Linked DNA regions of Ovis aries. The protein of the gene in region 1 interacts with the protein of each later gene in a biochemical or structural test. Links are inferred from orthologs where the notes say so. Each region holds a gene or a part of one and is shown on either strand. Other genes may lie near its edges.

What was found. The genes of interacting proteins can lie anywhere in the genome.
Region 2: of the proteins of WNK1 (region 1) and KLHL3, one has a biochemical effect on the other in vitro, tested with the Homo sapiens proteins (2 studies listed by BioGRID). The link is inferred for Ovis aries from reciprocal best matches to the Homo sapiens genes WNK1 and KLHL3.

Annotation. Positions count from the first base shown.
Region 1 is NC_056056.1:213,515,636-213,519,283, forward strand, and holds part of WNK1 (serine/threonine-protein kinase WNK1), read left to right. Parts: intron 1-992; coding exon 993-1,142; intron 1,143-2,311; coding exon 2,312-2,770; intron 2,771-3,524; coding exon 3,525-3,648. UniProt on the Homo sapiens protein: Serine/threonine-protein kinase component of the WNK1-SPAK/OSR1 kinase cascade, which acts as a key regulator of blood pressure and regulatory volume increase by promoting ion influx.
Region 2 is NC_056058.1:46,721,569-46,725,216, forward strand, and holds part of KLHL3 (kelch-like protein 3), read right to left. Parts: intron 2,916-3,648; coding exon 2,798-2,915; intron 2,356-2,797; coding exon 2,158-2,355; intron 419-2,157; coding exon 317-418; intron 1-316. UniProt on the Homo sapiens protein: Substrate-specific adapter of a BCR (BTB-CUL3-RBX1) E3 ubiquitin ligase complex that acts as a regulator of ion transport in the distal nephron.

The DNA.
Region 1 (3,648 bases):
CAGAGAATAGTATTTATAAAAATGGGCTTTTTTTTTTTTTAAATCAATGTGTGTAAGTGACCACTTATGCATAGCAGAAAATCCATAAAGCAAGTGCACCGGACTACTAATTGTGGTTATATCTGGAGAAATGAGGTTGGGTGTTTTCATTTAACTCTATTAATGTAATATAATGGTTAAAATTTTTATTACAAACAGGTGTTTGTTTTATATTTTAAAATTAATTTTTAAATTACTGATAGGTATTAGAGAATCTTGAAAGTCAGCTGTGAAGTTCAGAGTTTCAGCTAGAGGGGACCATTAGTTTTACTGCAAAATTTAATACTTGGGTACAGTTACATGTCAGCATTGAGTGTAGACGTATTATACCAGAGGGTCCAGCACGTGCTGGATTCCCACATGTCGTTCACTTTGCTGCACTCTGAATTGAGTGATTGTGCCCTTGTTTTCAAAGAAAGAAACCTCATTTTAGTAGTAAAATGAGCAATCACAAAGGTATCAGAACTAGTCTATGGTAGAGTTCAAAGTTCAGTGCTTTTCTTCTATCTTGTAGCTGTTGTCAGAGCTGTTCTTTAAGCAAATTAATTATACAGTTGAGAAACTAGACTAAAGAGATAATACGAACCACATTGAGAGCTGCTATCAAGAAATGGGAGCAAAGAGGGGAGGGCATTTGGAGGAGAGAACATCTGTTTGAACCTGGATCTGAGGTGTCTGTAAATATCCGAGCTGCTCCTGGGGCAAGGAGCATGTCAGGTGAAGAACCAGTGGTGACTCAGACTCGGAAACATGGGTTAGTTCTTGGTTGACCCATCACACAGAGCAGCAGAGGAAAAATGAAGATGTGTAAAGGGAAATTGGTGAGTTTGACTTTGTGCATGTCTTGATTACTAAAATTGCCATCTCTTACAGACACTGATAAGCAGATGTCCTGCCTTAGAAACATGCTGTTAACTACTTGAAATAAAACTGAATGATGGTTTTCTTCTCAGCAGCAAGGAGTGCAGCCAACAGCCCCCTCTCAGCAGGTGGCGCAGTATCCGCTCCCTCAGACATCGGCCCCCAGCGAGGCCGCGATTGCACAGCCCATGAGTCAGCCTCCACCTCCGCAGGCCTTGCCACACGTGTCCGCGGGAAAACAGGTGAGTGCCATACTTCTGGAAGGAGCACCGCATGACTTCTGCTTCTCTGGTGGTAAAACTGCTAAATGGAATGAACATCACTTCTGTGCATTGTTCCCGTTCAGTCGCTCAGACTGCAGCCCGCCAGCTCCTCTGTCCATGGTGTGTCTTTTGTAGATATGAACTGATTAATATAAATGGGTTTATAAAGCAGTGGTAATCCAAAAATGTTCAGTTTTTAGGTTTATCAGCCTAATAGAAGTTCGACAGATGTAGAACTGATAAGGGTGCTGCAGTGATGACATTTTCTAGAATTGTCAGTTGTATCTGTTCTAGGTTTGCAGTTATGCCGTGTTTTCACATAGACTTATGTGTTGTTCCCTGCCCGCATTGTCTTCTGACAGTCATAAAAAAACCTTATATGGAGTGGGGTTTTTTTTTTTCTCTAAATAATCCTTCTAGTACTTGAAAAGTAGCCTTGTTGAAGATAAACACCTTTCTGAATGACATTTTTTCAACTTAAAGGTTGGGGCTTGTGCTTGTATTTTGATACAGTGTATTGTTTCTGTCATATTTTGTCACATCTGAGACTGTCAGTTGTAAAATGCACCATTATTTTAGGTAACACTGAAAACTGACGCACCATTAATTGTAAGGTATATCTTAATTTCATAAATGTTAAAGTGACCATGTGGAAAGGCATGATTACATCCTGCAATTAGTGGAAGATGGTTGTAGACCTACTCTTACAAGCCTGGGTAGGACATGAGAACTGTGGAAGCAATATGGATGAGCTATAAGTTCACTGAGGAGAAAGTCCTTTGAATTTCAGCCATTATATAATAGCAGTTGTAAGTTCAGTGACAGCAAATGTACCAGTGGATTATGGCTTGAGAAACATGCCTCAGTCAGGATGTGAAGATATTTCCTATGCAAGAGCTCTCTGTTGTTGATGGTGACGTGTGAGTGGAATTTTCTAGCGCAGATTTAGAACAGCAGCACTCCATCAGCCGCCCGTCTGCAGCTGCCTCTCCCTGATCCTGTTGGCACGTTAACTTACACTAATATATGCAGGGATTGGTGTTTGTTTTAATTTTCTTTCTTTTTGGCTAATAAATAAGTCTTGCTTTTGGCAGCCTTGCTTTTTTTTTTTTTAAGTCTGTCTGTTTTGTTTTTCTTTACTTTCCCAGCTTCCAGTTTCCCAGCCAGTACCAACTCTCCAAGGCGAACCTCAGATCCCAGTTGCAACACAGCCCTCAGTCGTTCCCGTCCATGCTGGTGCTCACTTCCTTCCTGTGGGACAGCCACTCCCGCCCTCTTTACTGCCCCAGTACCCCGTCTCTCAGCTCCCCTCTGCTCCTCCTCACGTGTCTGTGGCTCAGCCAGGCTTCCCACCCCTGCCCGTCACGATGGCAGCTGGTGTTAGTCAGCCTCTGCTCACCTTGGCTTCATCTGCTGCGGCAGCGGCCGTCCCAGGGGCACCTGCTGTCGTCCCTAGTCAGCTTCCTGCCCTCCTGCAGCCTGTGACCCAGCTGCCGAGTCAGGCTCACCCACAGCTCCTGCAGCCAGCAGTTCAGTCCATGGGGATCCCCGCCAGCCTTGGACAGACTGCCGAGGCGCCACTTCCCCCTGGAGATATTCTCTACCAGGTATTGTGCTGGCTGGTAGATGAAGGGCCCCAGAGGGTTTGGTCGTAATGACAGAACATCGGGGGACTTAAAAACCGAGTAACTGAATATCATAATAACCAGCAATAACACAGGTTGCTGTTCTCAACCAGACATGCCAAAATAGTCCACATCTGAGCAAGGACCCAGTAGAGATGTCTGACTCATTTGCATCTTTTCCAAGACCCCTCCTTGAGAGAAAAATGCCTCTCTCCACATTCGCTGTGAGCTGAGAGCTCGGTATGACTCAACAGTAGATTGTATCAGGCTGCGTTTTTTTTATGGGAGGAGTAATGGTGGATAGCCAACATGGTGTCAATGGAAACCTTTAGGGTTTAGATTTAGAACACTAGCAAGTCATTGTGTGACTGCCATGACTGATACCTGCAAGAGTTTTTGCATTTTCATGTTGGACTGCCTGGAAAGTAGGTGGTTTTTCTTGGAGGAATTATGTTTATTCTTCCTATTTAAAATGATCTCCAGAAGGGGAAAAAAGTAGCAGTTTATTATTATTTTTTTTTAAGTCACAGTTTAAAAGTTCAGTTATGTACTGTCCTGTCCTCTAAATCAAAATCAGTCAATCATTTCGTTTGAAAATCTTTAAATTATTAGAGATTGGGCTACTTTTCTTTGCTGTGTGCTTTCCTTTCTTTTTCTTCTTCCCTTGCATGTCTTGCTGTTTTGCTCATTTGATGACCCAACCTGCACTAATTTCCCTTCCTCGTTTCTGTCACAGGGCTTCCCACCTCGACTGCCATCACAGTACCCAGGAGACTCAAACATTGCTCCCTCCTCCAGCGCAGCTTCTGTGTGCCTGCCTTCTGCAGTCCTGTCCCCTCCCATGCCGACAGAGGCGCTGG
Region 2 (3,648 bases), on another chromosome or scaffold:
TGACTCTCACCCTCCCAAACACACTGTATTCCTGGGTTATATCTTGACTCTGGACTTCCCATCTTGTGATATAGATAAATAGCCAAAACGAGAGCCCAGCATTTTCCCTCTAGGCTCCTCCTGGTACCCACAGTCCAGCTCACCTAATTTCTAGCCTTGGGCCAGTAGCTACACCTCTCTGAGTCTCAACCTCTCTCATCTGCTAATCAGGAAACTAGTATCCAACTCGGCAGTAAGGAGAGGAACAGAGCCAGGACACTGGAAGAAGGCCCGGGGGCCAGGGCAGGAAAAGAAGCCATCCGTTGTCGCTCCTTACCTTCTACAACACCCACGCCTACACTGCTACGGCGCGTATTCATCGGGGCCACGAAGAACCACTCGTTGGTCTTGTAGCTGTAGGCTTCTACCGACGCCAGCCCTGGGAGACAAGCAACTCGTGAGGTTTCTATGGTGCCAGGCCTCACCCTGCTGGGCTGAGAGTGAGGATGGGGCAAGAGTGCAGACCTGGGGGCCGAAAACCTGGGGGAGTATGACTCAGCAATACCTCTGCCTCACCATGCATCCCATGGCACCTCCATAAACACATCTGCAGTGTCTGTCTGAGGGGACCACTAAGACCTGACCTAGAGAGTGGGCTGTGAGAAGAATGAGGGTCTAAAGTAAATCATAAAACCACAGAATGGACTAAATACCTGAGATTGCCTCACTGAACACCTATTTCAACCTTCTTTCCCCTTGTCTTCCTCAATTTTAGAGGCTAGAAAGATTAAAACTTGTCTTCCCAGACTTCCTTAGAGCTGGGGGTGACCAAGTCAATGCAATCTAAGCAGGATTTCTGAAATAGCCTTTGATTTTCTGATAAGAGCCCCCCTTCTCAGCCCTGACCCCTTCCCCCCACCCCACTACTTCTTGCTACCTGGAATACAAACGTTTTGGCAAGAGCTATAACAGCCACCCTGTGACCATGAGGACAAGTCTAAGAGACTCTGCAAGATCTTGGCCCAAGATCCTTGAACAACTAAACCAAGTCAGCAACTGCCAACCTCTGACTTTGTTTCACAAGTAAAACAAAAGCTCTCATTTGTTTAAGCTATGGTGTAGTCAGGTTTTCTACTAGCAGTCAAAAGCAATGCCTAAAAGAAACAATGCCCCACTATCCTTTGTTCTCTTTATTCCCAGTCCCCCCTCATTAGAAGCAGCCTCCGGAGGTGCTATATAACTTGGAATGACATGAAAGAGGCAAAGAGAAGGTTGCAAACGTTTACCAACTAGTGAAGACAGAAATGAAATTTCAGAGGGATAAAGCATATTGTTTTTCATGTCACTGGGGACCAAAAGAGTCAAGTGTTTACAGAGACCTCCACCTGGAGATAGAAGAGGCAAGATAATTTCTCCAAGTCCATGTCCACTAGTATCAATAGTTTCCGATTCTGACTTTGGAGCGAGATGAACACCAGGAGCAAGGAGACGCTTCTGCAGTGTCACAGCCTTGCACAGCTTTGGTGGGGCAGCAGGGAGGGCAATGGAGAAAGGCGTGTGACTCAAGCCAAGTCTCTTCCCACAACTGAACCTCAGCTCTCCCGTCTGTTCAGCAGAGGGTTCAGATCACAGTCCCGAGACACCCTCCAGTTGACCTTGCTCTATGTTTTGTCTGTGGAGTAAAAGAGTTCCCAGACACTAGAAAGGATAAAAGGGACTCTTCTGAGGGTAGGGTACTTCCTGGAACCTAGAAATGAGAGCACATGGATGGTATTGTGTGTGTAGGAAGGTGTGACTCTGACACACAAGCTGGGAGGGGAGGAAGGATGGGTATGTTCTTGGGACAGTAGCTACAGAGAGACCAAAGGTTGGCCCAAGAGCTGGCTGAGCAAACCAGGCTTGTGGGTTGTTATTCAGTTGTGTCTGACTCTTTGTGACCCCTTGGACTGTAGCCTGCCAGGCTTCTCTGTCCATGGAATCCTGCAGGCAAGAATACTGGAGTAGGTTGCCATTTCCTACACCAGGGGATTTTTCCCAACTCAGGGACCGAACCTGCATCTCTTATGTCTCCTGCATTGGCAGGAGGATTCTTTACTGCTGTGCCACCTGGGAAGCTTCAAACCAGAGTAACATGGAGTGCATGTCTCAGGCTGGATGGTGACTGAGTCCAGGACCTACCAGTACTGCCATCAAAGCCCCCCACGGCATAGAGCAGGTCATTGAGCACAGCTGCACCCAGCGTGCTCCGGCGCTCCTGCATGCTGGCGATGGACGTCCACTGGTCCTTCACCCCATCATACACGTCCACTGTCCGCACACGCAGTGAGCCATTGAACCCGCCCACTGCATACACATGGCCAGCCATGAACACCACACCTGAGGCACAGGAAACCAAGGCATCAGGGTCATCTCAAACAGCTGACGACTCACATTTCGATAAGTGACAATGTGGGAATGAGGCAGGCATATAAATACTGATAGTTTAACAAAGAAGGTGATCTCCAACTTGTGATATTTGGAAATCACTATGGGACTCATTGGATTTCTTCTCAGATTTGCATTGCTAATTTTGTTTGTGTCAAGCAAATATTTGCATTAGCCTAAAGTCCCTAAGCACATAAGAACCGATCCCAGAAGGTACAGCTAGAAAGTGCGCAGGTGGGGAAGGGAAAGGAAGGGAGTGTGGAATGCACAATGTTTTCAGAACCAGGGAGCAGAATTTCAGCACCCTGCCGAGACCCGCAGGGTGGGAGGGGGAGCTAGGGACAGCCGGCACACTGGGAGACCGTGCGGCTCACCGGGAGACCGCGCGGCTCACCTGCTCTGCATCTCCTGGAGGGAAGCTCAGCGATCTGGTCCCAGCGATCCTCTTCAAAGTCATAGCACTCCACGCTGCGGATGGCCTTGGGTGCCTGGCCACCAACCACGATCATGACCTCCAGAGAGACAAGCGGACATTAGCTGGCTGCCCCAACATCCAGACCTATGGGTCACCAACCCCTGCTACATACATGCTCACTGCTCAGGGTCCATGGATGACCTGAAGTGCCAGTTTACAGAGCTACATACATGAAGATGCTGCCCCTGATCACCAACAAGTATGAATATTCAAGAAAAGTCTAGTGAACATCTTCCCACAGAAACACAAGCATTAAGTCTATGCTTCCCAAGTGCCCCTACTCACAGTTGTATTAGGGCCATGTGAGGCCACTTGGGGCATCTTCTACCATCTGCGTGTCCTTAAGGACCGGGGGCAAGGAGACTAAATTTTATATTGAAACAAAATATTCATATATATATATATCTCAACATATGAATGTATTTTAGAATAGAGTATAGAAGTTGGATGCATTTTTAAGATAAAATTAATTCAAAAATATTTTTGAATGAATAGACTGTAGGGGGTACTTATTCACTGGAGTATGGGAAAAAAATTGTAAAACACTGTTTTGTGGTGGTTACCACAAAGATGTATGTAACTGATGATGTCCTGAAAAATGTTACTAGTACTATTTCTACAAGTAGGGTAGCAGCTACCACTGCCAGTCATCATGTGAAGTATGTTGTCATCGCAACTCAGTGAGGCAGATATTGCCATCCACACTGATAGGTCAGGAAAGTAAAGCTCAGAGAATATAGGGAAACTGCCCAGGGCCACACAGCTAAGAG